Neurospora crassa OR74A: one gene and its partners. The protein of the gene in region 3 purifies or fractionates together with the protein of the main gene of each other region. This does not show direct contact. Links are inferred from orthologs where the notes say so. Each region holds a gene or a part of one and is shown on either strand. Other genes may lie near its edges.

Evidence for each region.
Region 1: the proteins of NCU03085 (region 3) and NCU04606 purify together in Saccharomyces cerevisiae (affinity purification with mass spectrometry; 3 studies listed by BioGRID, with this or other methods). This does not show direct contact. The link is inferred for Neurospora crassa OR74A from reciprocal best matches to the Saccharomyces cerevisiae genes LSM8 and PRP6.
Region 2: the proteins of NCU03085 (region 3) and NCU03625 purify together in Saccharomyces cerevisiae (affinity purification with mass spectrometry, with the first as the bait; 3 studies listed by BioGRID). This does not show direct contact. The link is inferred for Neurospora crassa OR74A from reciprocal best matches to the Saccharomyces cerevisiae genes LSM8 and SMD3.

Annotation. Positions count from the first base shown.
Region 1 is NC_026505.1:1,527,507-1,532,869, reverse strand, and holds NCU04606 (pre-mRNA splicing factor), read right to left. Parts: upstream 3,604-5,363; 5' UTR 3,511-3,603; coding exon 3,176-3,510; intron 3,064-3,175; exon of another isoform or gene 3,024-3,063; coding exon 605-3,023; 3' UTR 471-604; downstream 1-470. Other genes in the region: NCU04605 (hypothetical protein), read left to right, coding at 1-175; NCU04607 (hypothetical protein), read left to right, coding at 5,119-5,170, 5,249-5,306. UniProt on the Saccharomyces cerevisiae protein: Participates in pre-mRNA splicing. Part of the U4/U5/U6 tri-snRNP complex, one of the building blocks of the spliceosome.
Region 2 is NC_026505.1:1,886,347-1,891,289, forward strand, and holds NCU03625 (small nuclear ribonucleoprotein Sm D3), read right to left. Parts: upstream 3,263-4,943; 5' UTR 3,079-3,262; coding exon 3,031-3,078; intron 2,960-3,030; coding exon 2,899-2,959; intron 2,811-2,898; coding exon 2,681-2,810; intron 2,547-2,680; coding exon 2,435-2,546; 3' UTR 1,304-2,434; downstream 1-1,303. Other genes in the region: NCU03624 (hypothetical protein), read left to right, coding at 1-1,269; NCU03626 (hypothetical protein), read left to right, coding at 4,941-4,943. UniProt on the Saccharomyces cerevisiae protein: Plays a role in pre-mRNA splicing as a core component of the spliceosomal U1, U2, U4 and U5 small nuclear ribonucleoproteins (snRNPs), the building blocks of the spliceosome. Also binds telomerase RNA and is required for its accumulation.
Region 3 is NC_026501.1:4,492,085-4,496,931, forward strand, and holds NCU03085 (small nuclear ribonucleoprotein Lsm8), read right to left. Parts: upstream 3,119-4,847; 5' UTR 2,639-3,118; coding exon 2,605-2,638; intron 2,448-2,604; coding exon 2,371-2,447; intron 2,265-2,370; coding exon 2,073-2,264; 3' UTR 1,591-2,072; downstream 1-1,590. Other genes in the region: NCU03084 (inosine-uridine preferring nucleoside hydrolase, variant), read left to right, coding at 60-202, 288-460, 523-557, 625-1,590; NCU03086 (HpcH/HpaI aldolase/citrate lyase family protein), read left to right, coding at 4,041-4,224, 4,287-4,379, 4,437-4,462, 4,515-4,847. UniProt on the Saccharomyces cerevisiae protein: Component of the nuclear LSM2-LSM8 complex, which is involved in spliceosome assembly. The LSM2-LSM8 complex plays a role in the biogenesis of the spliceosomal U4/U6-U5 tri-snRNP complex by accelerating PRP24-mediated annealing of U4/U6 di-snRNA.

The DNA.
Region 1 (5,363 bases), on a different chromosome or scaffold from region 3:
CTCCCAAGCAGACAAGACCTACTCTTCAACCAAGTCGCAAGCCGAAGCCCTCGCCAAGGACACCAAGGCCGAAGCGCTCAAGAAGATTGACCAGTTCGACCGCACCGTGGAGCAGAAGGCTGCCGAGGCCAAAGCTGGAGTTTCCAGCTGGTTTGGTAGCGGCAACTCCAAGTAAATTGGCGGCGATCCCCAAATAAACACCGAAACTAATAACGACGGCAAGTTCGACGGACGAAGGGAAAGCATGTCAGGCGTTTGTTTATGATTGATAATGATGAAAAGGTTAATGATATCATGAGTTTGGGGGGGAGGAGGTTAGGGTTTGCTACGTTACGCACGCTAAAGCTAATGCATCATCCATGAATGATTCGGGAGTTCTAGGACTTGTTAGGACATTTGAAAGGACTTTATGGAACAAGTTAATTCGAACAATTGCGAACCATCAAAACAAAGAAACATAACAGCCCCGATCGTGATTGAATCAGATGAAATTTGCGCTGCTCTAACGAGTCTGTTTGTCTTTTTTACCCAAACCCAGGGCTGATCATGCCTCAACACCACATTAGCATCACAAATAGTCCGTCTACATAGTAAACAACCCCCCTCAAGACAACGTCTCTGCCACCAACTTCAACACCTCGTCCGTCTTCTTTCCCGCATTTTTCGGATCCTTCGCCACCCTCGTCCACTCCTCTCCATGCCTAGGATCCACCAACACGCACTTGGCCACCAAATCCGCCCTCTTCTCCTCCGTCCCATGCTGCACCAAAAACTTGTAATACCACGCCCACGTATCGCCCACATCGCGATCCAGCAACAGCGCCTTCTCGAACCAGTTCTGCGCCCGGTCCAGCTTCCTTTCCGCCCACAGAATTCTCGCGGCCGTGACCAGCAGGATCGGATCGTCTTCCACCTTTTTCACCGCCTCGGCAAGCAGCGATTTCCGCTGCGTGCGCGGCTCGAGGTTGAGGATCCTTTCCGCCCACAGCAAGCCCGATTTGGGCATCTGCTGTAACGCTTGCGCCATGAGCGACTTGGCCTGGTTCAAGTTGCCCGCGCGCCGCTCGACGCGGATGAGTTCCGTCCATAGCTCCGGGGACTTGGGCACGGCTTGTCGGGCGCGGTCGAGGACCGAGCGCGCCTTGACGACATTGTTGGCCTTTTCTTCTAAACGAGAGTACAGAAGCCAGAGCGGGATGGACGAAGGGACGGCGCGCACGCCGGTGCTGTAGGCTTCCCGCGCAGGACCAAGTTGGCCGAGGTCTTCGTAGATTTGGCCCTTCATCATCCAGAGTTTGGGCTTGGAAGGGAAGAGCTGTAGGGCCTGTTGGACGAGATCCAAAGCGGCCTCGTTGACGCCTTGTTGACGCTCAAACGCCACGGAGCGCATCCACACGCGATCGGTGGGCGCATTCTGGCGCGCGGTCTTGAGGAGTTCGCGGGCTTTGTCGATGAAACCGTTGTCGGCTTCGAGCTTGACGGCCGCCAGCCAGATGTCCTCGCTGTCCGGGTTCTGCTTGAAGGCGCGGGCAAGGACGAGGCGTGCCTCGTCGACGCCCGCCTCGGCGGCTTTCTCGCGCGCGAGCATGAGCCAGAAGACTTCGTAGTGCGGACAGGCCTCGACGGCCTTTTCGAGCGCGTGCCAGAGGTCTTCCTTGCTGCCGTGGTTGCGCTCCAGGTCGATGGCGGCCGTGTAGAGCGATTTGCTGTTGGGGAAGACGCGGATGGCGTAGGCGTAGATGGCGCGCGCTGTGGCGAACTTGTCCCGGTTGATGGAGGCGCGCGCGTCTTCCATCCAGAGCTCCTTGCGGTCATCGTCCTCGTCGAGACCCCAGCCAAGCGTCTCTTCGATGATGTTGCTGCAAGTGATGACGGCGCCTTCCTCTTCGCACTTTTCTGCTTCGGCGATCCATTCCTCGCGCTTGGGCATGGCGTTCTGCTTGGCGAGGAACTTGACGGCGTTCTTCATCACGGGCCGCTTCTTGCCTTCGCCTAGTTGTTCTTCCAGGCGAGCGGCGGCGATCCAGAGTTCGTGCGAGTTGGGAAGCTTCTTGACGGCCTTGTTGAGAACCTTGCGGGCGTTTTCGGGAGTCTCGAGACGGGCCAGTGCCAACCAGAGGTCGAGCGACTCCGGGATAAGCTCCGTCGCCTTGGCTAGTAGAATGCGGGCGTCTTCGACGTCCTCCTCGAGGTTGACAGCCTCCTTCCATAGCGCCTCGGACTCTTGGTTATGATCGAGAGCTCTCCGGATAACCTTCTTCTTTGATCTAGGGTCGTTTTCCAGCTTCATCGCTTCCACCCAAAGCTTGACCGAGTGTGGGTTGGCTTGAATAGCCTGTGCCGCAATGACCTTGGCGTTCCGGTTGTCGTTCAAATGAATGTTTTCCAGCCAAATATCCTCGCTCTTCGGGCAGTGTTCGCAGCCCTTGGCAATCAAGCTGCGGGCAGCACCAGGCTTTCCCGCCGCGATTTCCAATCTCGCTGCAGCAATCCAACTGGCTGCCTGTTTGGGGTTCGAGTCGACAGCCGACTTGAGCATCTTCCTGAACTGCTCAATGTCTCCAATGCTTTGTTCCGCACCCTGCATGCTCGACAGCGATGTCAGGTAGCCCTTGGGGTCGATACTCGTCGCGCTTCCCGCCGTGGCCACGCTACTCGACTGTGATTGCTGTTCCAAGCGCGCCCTCAGCACCTTGTCGCGAGCCGCACCGATCTTTGCGAAATCTGTAACTGTGCCATCCTTGTTGACCCCTTCGGTGGCGGTGCCGTCTTCTGCAACGGTGGTACCGAACTGGCCGGAATCTCGCGCGGCAGCGAGGACACTGTCGGGAACGGCGTAGAAGCGCTCCATGCGAGCCTGGCGTGCCCTCTTGGTCCTGCCGGTAAGGTCCTTGGGATCTGGTAGGTTTGCCCATTCTTCGTCGGTGACCGTCTCGAGCGCTCGTTTGAGGCCGGCGAATTGCTGTTGGATTTTGGGGTTCTTTCGTTCGTACTCTAATCGTTCGGCTTCTTCTCGTGCTTCCCTGTGAAAATGCGATTTCTTGTCGGTACTCTGCTTTTCATCTATCTTGACCGATAAACCACATGCTTGCTTGAAAGTGTTGGGGAAGGGGTAGAAGGGTGTTTTGTGAATTTATGTAGGATGTCAAGTGATGTATACGAGGTAATGACTAACCTTTGCTTCTGTCGCCGCTTCGCCATCCTGTCGTCTACCTCTTTCCATATCCGATCTGCCTCCTCGTCGTCCTTCTCGTATATGCCGCCGGCGAACAAGCCGACTTCGTTGTCGGGATCCTGATAGCGGCCATCGTCTTCATTGTCGTCGTCCTTGGCCTCGGTCAGACCTAGCTGTGCAGATCTCTTCGCGACGGCCGCCTTGATCTGGTCTTCACTAGGACCCTCGCGCGCGGGACCAAGATCGGATCGTGTAGTGAAACCCGTGGCACCACGACCGAGACCGGCGACGTAGTTCTCGGGTGCGGGTTGACTGAGGAAATCCCGTCTAGACATGGTGGCGGTTTTCTGTATTCGTGATGTATTGTAGAGACGCGGTGGCTAGGATTGTGACCGTGGTGGCCGTAGAGGTAGCTCCAAACATTTGAGTTAGCGGCAAAATACCGGCAGGCTGCAAGTCGAAGTGGAAGTCGAACTCCAGGGCACTGAAGCCTGCCTGCCACTGGTCCAGGCGCTCTTGGCATTTGACGAACGAATGGCAGGCACAGTGCCAAGTAAACAGTCTACGACTCCACCAGTGCTTGGCGGCTTAATTCCACTTTCGTTGTTTACTTCCTCCTATCATTCATCTACCTCCTTTCCCGTCTTCACCATCACCAGTCAGCGGAGCCATGATGGCCATAGAAGACAACTATGACGATATTTCAGCGCTCCTGCCGTCGGCAACTGAAATGGCCTGGCTCAGTGAGGCGTGAAGTGGGACAACTTCACCCAGATGCTCGTCTGCTCTTCGTGTTGCAGCATCACTAAGGGAAATGCATTATTCATCTATGGCAATGCCTGCGATCAGCCTAGCCAACAATGTCCAACTTCAACCTCCCATTTAAATTCTTTCTGTGCAGGTGCGGCAACTACAGCATTTATGCCTCGCACCATTCAACCTTCACGGTCAGGTTAACCGCAAAGGCGGCACCATGCAAGGCGAATATACTCCCTCACCGAGACTTCGTAACACAGGTTTTCCTGTTTACAATAAACATGCTGTACAACGGCACACGATGACTGAGCCTATGCCTTTTTATTCTGCAATGAATTTAGGCTGGGTTTAGCTCCTTGCCGGCCGTCTACCTAGGTATATTTATTCAGTACCACGTCCCTGATTGAGTATACAGCGGGATCCGAGTTCGCACAACTTGAACGTCTGTACACAAGGTGCTTCCAATCTGCATACACTGTCTCAAAGCACTCATGGCGACTGAAGGAAAGCTACTCCAGCGCCGCCCACTCGAACCACCAATGTGCAATTTCGAGACCCTCCTGTTGACTAAATCTCATAAGTATGGGCATCTAGCTCGCTTCTTCACCCTTTACTACCACTCACATATTCGGTCCAGACCTTCTTGCTCGTCCATCACAGGAGAGCTTGATGTGATAGTCATGGAGCCGCTGATCAAAAACCCGATGTCTTCTCATATCAAACACTCATCAAATGACTCCGCAGGTAAGATCTCTTGGAAACCAGGCGGCTTCAGACGTTTTCCCTGGTTTGGGATAATTCCGCTGATCTTTTGTATAAGCTGTGAGTACTCGTTCCTACGTTCACCACAACACTGAGGCTGTGACCAAGTACCGACAATGCTAACTGCAAGGACTAGGTACAGGAATTGCTATAGGAGTCGTTCTCGAGAGCGATGGTGGTTCGGAAAAGAACTGGTCCGGGCTCAGACAACCCGGTGTTTTGTTGGCGTACACATCGACTCTTGCAAACGCGTTGATGGGGCTTGCCTTTGCCCAAGCGGCCGTGATATTCTTCTGGGTCCAAGCAACAACGCCGCTACCAGTTGAGTTCCGGCATCTCTCGGCTGTCAGTCAGTATGATATATCAATTGACACGATATACAGATTAGCAGCCTCCACCATAACTGGGCCGGATCTTCAAGCACCATGGGCGCAGTCAAGTCCATCTTCCAGGGAAAGGCGATTCGCGTCAGTTTAGGTTAGAATTTCAATACTCCCCTGCCCCGGTCTTTACCACATCAGAGATATTATGGCATCATCACTTACGTTTGTACAGTATCTATCCTCGTCACAGTCACGGCCCTCCTTCGCGGTCCTCTGATGCAACGAGCCTCGTATGTTCAAGTGGTCGATGTATGGCAGAACAATACCATTGATCTTCCAGTCACTTT
Region 2 (4,943 bases), on a different chromosome or scaffold from region 3:
GCCGTCGACACAGCAGCCACCACAGCCGGCCACTCGGCGCCCATCGTCACGCCCGTGCACATGGCCGTGCTGGTAGCCGACGGCGTCCTGAGCGCCGCCTCCATCCTGTCACTGCCCATCAGCCCAGAAAGCCAAGACACCATCACGGCCGTCGCCAACTTCAAGAGGATCAGCGCCGAAGACAAGGCCGCATGCCCGTCCCTGGTCATCACTAGCGTCGAGGCTGGTGCACAGGGCCTCGACCTCTTCCGTGAGAGCGCTAGCAACGCCATGAAGTACGAAGCCCTCTGGACCGAGGCCGGCGTGGGACACATCAACAAGTGGCTGCGATCCAACGTGCTGTCGCAAGCTGAGCAGGAAGGGGCCACCAAGGCGCCCGTGCGCAAGCTGATTGAGTCCATTCTGCACAACGCCGGCGCGGCGCTCCAGGCGGCCGAGTACCGCGACATGAAGGTCTCGGTAGAAGGGGGCCCGTCGCCGCACACGATTGCGCGCCTGAACCAGGCGCTGGCGGACTGGGCCAAGGATGCGCACGAGGAGCTGCAGCAGCAGTTAGAGATTGCGTTCGTCGGCGAAGCGTGGAGGCAGATGAACTGGTGGAAGCTGTTTTGGCGGGTGGATGACGTGGGCATGCTGTCGTCTGAGATGATTGCCCAACGATTCTTGCCCGAGGCTGAGAAGCGCTTGATCTTTTTGGCCGGCAGGCTCCAGGAGGCTGGAATTACTACTGCGGGCGGAGAAAAGCCGGTGACGTACTCCGGCCCGGCGGTTCCACCGTCGTTCCCCGAGGGCGAGAGCAGTGTTGCTACTACTGCTGCTACTACGGAATCAGAGACCAAGGGAAATTGGCCTGCGCATATCCCCTTCACAAGAAACTATCTACTAGCGGAAACTGTTCCGGCCCTGCAAGCACTGGCGCAGAAGCTCGTGCTACAGTCATCAACATTAGCGGGAGCCACCACGGCACTCGGCGGCATGTCCTGGCTCTCTGGATTCGGAATATATGAGTGTGGAGCCGTCGCCGCCTTGGGTATTGTTTTGAGTTTGAGGGGCTTGCAGAAAAGGTGGGAGAGGGCGAGAGATTTCTGGGAGGGCGAGGTTCGTGAGGAAGGACGCAAGGCTATTCGCGCAACCGAAGCCAGCATTGCCGAGGTGCTGGATAGCGTTTCTCCTGAAGTTCCCGAGGATGTGGCGGTTGAGATTGAGGAGCTGAAGGAGGCCAAGAGTGTCCTCAAGCGGGCCGAGGAAGCGCTTGCGAGGCTGAAGTAGAAATGATGGGTTGCAACAGATGTTTAGAAGGACATTCTGCAAACCGAACTTGGTCAGTTTCGGACTTCTTGTGCTTATTATTTTCCACAGCCCTCTCGCCCTGCCTGTTAGTCCCTTAGGTGGGTGTTTTGACAATATGCCCTCTCCAACTCAACCCTTAAACAGCCAGTTGTATATTTAGTCTACACGATTCACTCTCACTCAGAGCATTGTTGCAAGCTCGTCTTATGCGAGCCTCACATATAGGGACAGGCGGGTTAGAACCGGCGGACGCAACAGATCAACCAGGGCTACACTCTTATGTACCATTAAAAAAGCAAGCCGAAGTGGGAGTAAAAAGGGGGCATCGGACTTTTGTGGTAGATATCAAAAACTGTCAGCGTAGGCTGAAGATGGAATGGGTTGTGTGTACAACAACATAATAGACAAAGACGTTGAATACGTACCCTGTCTATATCAGAACCAGGGCTAGTAGGAGTTTCGCTTTCGGTGCGATTCGATCCATGCTGTATGTGCTCGCTCCTTGGCCAAGGACTCAACTGGGGGGAGACCTGAGGCTGGCTGAACACCTGGTTCGCTCTGGCTGCTAACCGTGATGAAGCCAGGTTTTCGTTGCGTGCTGACGGACGGGTAGCGGCTGTTGCATCGACCGACCATTATCGTCCAGCTGGCGGAGCGTGAAAACCCCTGGATACGCCACGCTTCTCCCATGATCATCATTTGGCAGCAGATGGATGAGCGGGGCCAGCTGGCGTCCTCCATATCACTCCTCATCGAGGCTCTCAACCCTCCAATCCCAGCCCCAGCACTCACTCCAGTCCCTTCTCATCTCTGGCCGGCCTTGAGCCACCCTCCTCCCTATCCCTCCTGTTCCTCCTTCTCTGGGCATCCAAAGCTTGCCCCCCACACTTTTCTCTTTCCATCCAACTCGCTGCCCCCCATTTTCGGTAGAAAGAAGATCAAAGTTTGCTTTATTGGTTCCCCCCACCCAAAACGCCTAAAATATCAAAATAGCGGTTGTCGTTGCGCGCGGAAAAAAAAAAGGAGCCATAATATGCCGATTATTGTGCCCCAATATTGCATTCCGTTGTGAAATTTTCAATGATTCTCGGTCTGGGTCTGGTCTTGGTCGATGAGTCTGACGACAGGCGGCGCTCGCTGTCTTCTATCTGGCGCCGCCACGACCACCGGCGCGCGCCCTACTGACTGTCGCACGACCGCGGGCGAGACCGACACCGCGGCCGCGGACGTTGCGGGAGCGGAACATGGGGGCGTTTCTGTATGGGAACACAAAAAAAAGAGGAGGAGGAAATGATTAGCTTGGGTCCTATCCGACTTATTGGGTAGGTAGGGGGCAACTGGGGAGAAGAATCGCAACGGATGAGTTGGTGGTGGCCTGGTTTGAACGTACCTCAACATATCCGGCACAATAAAGAATCGCACATGACTGCCGCGGATGTAGACTTGTTCGAGATGGCTGACGCGCCCGTCGCGGGCTGTGACGGTGATGTCCTTGAGTTGGACGTTCATGTTGTCCTCGGCTGTTTTGCGGGGGAGCGCATTGGTTAGCATGGCTGGCCAGTTTAGAGGAGTGAATGGGAATGAAGAGTTCATGGGGGTTAGCAGTACCTTCGATAAGCTTGCCACGGTAGGTCTGGCCGGAGGTGATCTCGAGAGTGACGATATGGCCCTGTGGGACAGGAGTGGTTGGTTAGCTTTTGGCAGCACTACAGTCTGTGCATAGCAATGGTGTTTACTTACCTGAGCCTCATTGAGGAGCTTGATGGGGATACCAATTGTGGAAGTCATGTTGGCGGCTGTGTTATTACGTGGTGAGGTTGGTTGGCGATGTGGAGGGGCGAACTGATCTTTCTTGGTGTTGGTTTTAGAGATTACCTAGATGGTATGCCGTAAGTACAGGCGACTTGGTTCGCGATGATAGTGGATGCGATCAGTTGCCTTTGACGTGAACGCGGCAGCCCTGTCAGCCCGGTGCTGCTGGGAATTTCGTCGGAGAGCTTAGTTGATCTTGTCAGCTGCAAGACAGCTGCCAGATCTCACGGTACGTACCGCGCATTGAGGTCCTACACTACAAGGAAGTGTGGAGGCTTCCCCACACGCCTCTTCTGCGCTGTCCCCACATTCAGTGAACTGGTGGTCTTCGGTCATCCAAAACCTCGTCATCGTCACTGACATAAACCTTCTTTCTTCAACCCATTGGCAGTAAGTGGAATTTACCGGCCTGCTGTCATACGCTTGTACTCAATCAAAGTATGAACTGTCTGGTTCAGCACCCCGAACGCCGTTATCGCTCAACTTTCCTGGCTCATGTTCCGAGTCGTCGCATGATGGCGGCCGTCACGGGGATGGGATTGTCCAACGCATTGAACACAGCATCCCCAACCTTTTTCTCAATGAGGCCTTCTTCGATGTTCTATACGCTGAATTATGTGAGGTCCTTCGGTTCTCAATTCACCCTTGTCCCCGAATATTGGACAGTCACTCCCCTCCCGCTTTGCCCCATACCACCAGCCAACCGTTGACGAGCAACTCCCACATTCTCGACGGCCTCGTCTAGCCATTGCCTATCAGCCAAGGACGGGACGTGATACAGGACAGAAAACGCCCCTCGACGTTCTCCAGACTTCCTCGCGCCCCGAGAGATGCCGTACCCGGGTCCTTCTGCATCATGCTACTACATACATGCCTCCATCCTCGCTCCCTGTCGGCCACGACCACGGCTTGCACGGCTACGTAGTCCAGCGAGTAAGGGGCCATCTGGCCTTGTCCCATTTTCAAAACGCAGTGACGGGCTGGCCAAGTGGGCCGCCGGCCAATTGCTGTGTTGTCAGCTTGATGCCCAAACCCTATGATCAAACCCCACGAACCGCCCCGGCACCGCTGAATGGGCGAGGCAACTAACCGTCTCAACCTCGAGCTGCGGCAGGTGGGTTTGGCGTGGACTGATCTTCCATAGCACTGGCTGTTATAGGCTGCATGCATGTGCATCGAGAGACCATGATCTGTGTGCGTCTGCTCCTCCGTCTTGGTTGCTCCGAGTTCTCGGTCTTTTCTCTCCACCTTCTTTGTTATCTCGCTGTGTGAGCTGGATCGTGTGGTGATGGTGCGGTACTAGCAAGCTTTGACAAGCTCGACGGCAGCTCCGGTTGCATCCCACCTCCCACCATCATGTCCTCGTCTTTGCCCTGATTGGACGTCTCACCACTCTCCAGGAGGTGTCTGCCAACTTCTAGCGCTGGACGCTACATGACATCTCAGTTCCGAGTGGAAGATCTCTGGTCTGGTCACTCCATCAGTTCCGGTAATTGAGGAGTTGACTTGGCCGTCGTGCAGACTTTTACCCCTGGTGATGTGGGCTTCCCGTCTCCTACTTATGCCCGTCCGTCTCCCAGCGTGGGATCGGTTCGTTTTGTCACAAGATCCTTTTTTAGTGAATCGAGAATTCCATTCGCTGTTTGCTTCACCTCAAGAAAAAGAACGCAGACTGCCTGGACTACGTGGTCCTGTCAAACCGAGATCACACTTGAAGGTCGTATTGGCCCTGGATTTCCTACACGAGGGCGTCGTACCTGCTTTAGTCAACCGGAGGCCCACTCCTTCCGTGTTTCTCTCTTGGTCAGGTCTCAAGGTATTGTCTTGCCTTCGCCATAATG
Region 3 (4,847 bases):
ACCAGCAGCTGAATACATATCAATAACTGACAGATAATTCGCAGAAGAAAAAGCCCACCATGGCTCCCAAGCAACGTGTTATTCTCGACACCGACCCCGGTGTTGACGATGTGCTGGCTCTTCTTCTCGCCCTTAGTGCCTCACCTGAGGAGCTTGAGCTTGCTATGATCTCCGTCACTTATGGCAATGTTCCGCTTCAGAGGTATGTATGGATGGTCATGAAAAATCCCGGTCCGGGTAGCGGCAGCTTTTGTCTGACCTCAAGTTCCTTTCTTCCCGTCCCGCAGCTGTCTCCGCAACGTCGTGGCAACGTTCCACGTGCTGGAAAAAGAGATGAAGTGGCGCGAGGAGACAGGCAAGAGCACTCGCGGCTTCGGTGCCCTCAACACCCATAAACCCATTGTCGCCGTTGGTCCGGAGCACGCGCTGGAGGATGAGATCCTCGCGGCCGACCACTTCCGTAAGACAGACTGAGACCCCCACCGCTTTTCCCTCAGAAACAAAGCAGTTAACAAATTGCAGATGGTGCCGACGGTTTACATGGTGTCCACGAGAAGGTAAGTGAACTCCGAGGACTGCGTTGCGTTTCTTGTCATGGTACGTTTGACCTGACCACCGCCCCAGCAACCTCATCTTTCCCCCGCCGACACCTGGCGCTCTCTATTCAGCGACGAAGAGCCCCAGGGTGAAAAAGTCGAGCCTCCTTCGTACTCCAAGTACTTCACCCCAAGCAAGGCTCCAGCGCACAAGGAGATTCTCCGTGTCCTGAAGGAATCGCCCGAGAACACCGTCACCGTCGTTGCCGTTGGTCCCCTGACAAACGTGGCGCTGGCCGCTGCTGAGGACCCCGAAACCTTCCTGCGCGCCAAGGAGCTGGTTGTCATGGGTGGTGCCGTAAACGTCGAGGGCAACGTGACCCCCGTCGCCGAGTTCAACTGCTTCGCCGATACCGTTGCCGCCGCCCGCGTCTACGCCCTGACCTCGCCCAACCCGAGCTCGACCATGCCCCCTGTCATCCACGGCAAATCTTTTTTGCCCCCTTACCCCGCCAAGCTTTCCAAGCAGCTTAAGCTGACCCTTTTCCCTCTTGATATCACCACCCCGCTCGAGCTGAGGAAAAAGTACTTCTACGAGACCATCCAGCCGATCACCAAGTCCGGCAGCCCGCTTGCGCTGTGGATCGAGACCTTCATGACAGGCATCTTCAACAAAGTCGAAGCCATGCTTGGCGACGGCAGTGAGCCCGGTCTGTCCCTCCATGACCCGGCATGCATTTGGTACATGTTGACCCAGGATGACCCCGCATGGGAACCCGTGGCGAAGCCGGAAGATATTAGAATTGAGACCTCCGGCCAATGGACCAGGGGCATGCATGTCATCGACAGACGACAGAGGGCGAAGCCGGGTGAGCAGTCAAGCAAGGTGGAGACGCATCCGTCGGATCCTCTGGATGCGACCACCTTTGACGATGTCCCCGGAGACGACATGGGCTGGCTAAGCGTGAACAAGGGAAACAGAATTAACAGGATGGTCAAGACCCCCGGCGACGAGAAGTTTGCCGCCATCTTGATGGATAGACTCTTTGGTTGAACCTGCCGGCAGCACTTGTTGATTTTCTTCTTCTTTTGTATATAGAAAGCGAATCTATTCCACGCGGAGTTTTTGAGATCTGGGGTATCTGAAATCAATATTCGCTGGGTTCCTTAAACCGAGAGCTGGACCTGCCCGTGACACCTTGTTTTATTTTTTCTTCGTCGGTCAGCATAAGTCTTAACGGGGAAGTAAGAGGGGAAGAAAGATCGTCGATTGGGCATACCAATGTAGTAAAAGAAAACCTGTAGCTCCGCGTGTCAAATGCTAATGATGCAACCAAATCTTGTGTGCCACGCACATTATCCACCGGTGTTGTCCTTTATGTCAACTGCCCGCGACCGCCACACCGTTCGACTTTTGTCTTTTTTCCCCTTGGTTTCCTTCTCCTGCCTCCTCTTCTTGGTTTTGAGGGAGCGTGACACCATGCTTCACGCGCTCAGGTATAGCGCAGAAACGGTTCAATGGTTCGGTGGTATATTCTAGTGCTTTGTCGTCCCAATCGTAGCCCCCTTGACTTTGGTCCAGTCTATGCTCTCGTCCAGCGGCTCATCAACCAACCCAACCAGGCAGACCGTGTCCCCGCGAATCATGTGCGTTCCCAGCTCGATCTCGGCCGAGGGCTCGTCATCATCGGGGGAGCGAATGACTCGTTCAACTGCTCTTTGTAGGAACTAGTTTGTTGGAGGGTTAGTTGTCGTTCGCGATATGCTTTGTTTTGTTTATCAGGTGGCAGAGGAACTGTATCGAAGTATGGATTGGGAGGGAGCATATACTGACCACATTCGTGCTCATGTCTACCGAGATCAGTGTGCCTACTAAGGTGCGGCCATCGACTGTAATTATGCAAACCTTTTCTAAAGTAACGAAAGATGGATCTGTTAGCTTTCTGGTCTTGCGAATATCCTTTAACTTTGGGATGCCGTGACCAATTGATCTTGTGACCGAAGCAATGGAGGAAAGAGGAAGAGGGGTCGAAAAAGCCGAAGGGCTCAGGTAGAAGGGTAGACCAACTGTTGAGGTACGAATTTACCAAGCCCGCCGACATGGTGACGGATGAGTAGATGCTATTACTGTAGTCTTTGTGTGTTTTCTCGTACCGGCAATGCGCGGGCCCAAGACCGCGGTGATAAGCAAAGTATCACGTAAAGCCCACGGTCTAACTTGAAGAGTATTGATTCAAGCGAAACACGTGGTTGCAGACAGAAAGTCGTCGGTTCAACTCGAGGGCAATTTGTTCGCTTCGTGTGATCTTGGTAAGCCCGGCCGGATGGGGTCGTTTGGTCGTTCGTCGCTTCGAATGGGGCAATTGGTTCGTGGTTATTGATGTTTTCGTTTCTCGTTGACCGATCGCGAAAGAGGAATACAACCTGGTCGGCGCGCCGCGTCAAAGAAGAATAGTGGGTACGTAATGCTGGCGGGGAGGGATGTGGTTAAATCGTGGGGATGGGACAAGAACGTCGCCGTTGAAGCTGGAGCTTCTCTTGTTCTTCCGTAGAATCGCCAAGCCCAGATCACTGACGACGGCTCACGGCAGACAACGTACCAGCACTGTGGTGAAGGCTGGAGCTTCTGAAGCGGATCCATTCTCCACTCAATTGCCTGCCGCAAAAGCGACGCTCACCCATCAGCTTGCCCCTTTTCATTCGGGAGGGTTGCTTTGTTTACTTTTATCCGCTTTGGGGTGTCAATGCAGCCCTCAACTGTTTTCGGTTGCTGCTTGAATAATTGCCTTCATCATCGTATGGTCTACCATCAGAAATGCAGAGCTTTCTCCTCCTGGAGCTTCTCGTCGCTGACTTGCGGCAGTCTCAAAGAGCCCTATGAAATTCTGTGGAAGCTTATACGTATAGCAGGGCCAAGATGCGGATGTCAACGTCCACCATGGCTTGAAGGACTTCCATGAGACCATTCAAGCCCATTGAACCTGCCGTTCCCGTGACTCGGAAAGTTTGAACATGTCAATAATCCGAATACCGGCAGAGGTTGTGGTGTCTCCAGTCAGAACAGCCTAGGTAGAACCGAATGCGGAGGGAGATACAGACGCGAACCCCGCAGTAGGAGCCCCGCCCTACTGTGTATCTCTTGGACGAAGGCAGGGGACGAACATCTCCCGAAGGTGTACCAAATTGGCCAGCAATTGAACTTGTTCACCCAACGCAGCCAGTACATTTCCTCGCCATCTGCCGTCAGGTTATTACAGTTGACCTCGAGTATGTGGCGGCGGGACCTTGGTTCGGAGCTGCACATCAACTTTGAAATCATAGTGTGTACTGTGTGTTATCGGATTTGCTTTAAAAGAGTTCGGGTTGACTTAGTCCGAGCTTCCACCTGCATCCCCACTGACTTGGCATGCCTTTCCTCCCCTTCGTACGTTAAAACTCCTGAAGCATCATATCTCTTCACTGAACAAAGTCGTTCACGTCACTCCGCTTCACCAACTCCGTACAATGTCTTCCGGTAACCCAACTTCCAAGATGCTGGCGGCCAATTCGTTGAAGCAAATCTTCACCCAGGAAAGCCGCCCTGCTATGGGTGTCTGGCAGATGCTACCCGGGGCCAATATCTCGAGGATTCTCGCTCGATCGGGGGCTGACTGGGTAATGGTTGACTGCGAGCATGGAAACATCGACGGTAGGTAACCCGTAATACGGTGGTGAATGATGGGGCTTGTTGAGCTGAATGATATTGGTCAGATGCTGCGATGCACGAAGCAGTTCCGGCCATTGCTGCCCTGGGCGTTTCTCCTATTGTCCGGATCCCAGACCTTCAGCCATCGATGGTCAAGCGTGAGTGCCATTCGTATTGCCTTATCACTCAGACGGTTACTGATGTACCCTTTACAGGAGCGTTGGATAGTGGTGCGCATGGAGTGAGTGTATAAGAGTATCCTGTGTTGGAGACATTTTTCTGACGTGCTCCAGATCCTTGCGCCGCTCATCAGGACTGTTGAGGATGTCAAAAACTTGGTTACCGCGGCAAAGTTCCCACCCGAAGGCAAGAGAGGGTTTGGATCACCCATCGCTATGCAAAACTTCAACCCCATGCCAACCTTCACCGAATACCTCCAGCAAGCGAACGAGAGTCTCTTGACCATGGTGCAGATCGAGACACAGGAAGCCTTGGACTGTGTTGAAGAGATAGCTCCGCTTGTGGATGTCATCTTTATTGGTCCTTTTGACTTGGGTAACAATATCGGCCACCCGATTATCGAGGGAAAGATGGATCCGGAGCTAGATGAGGCTATTGACAGGATC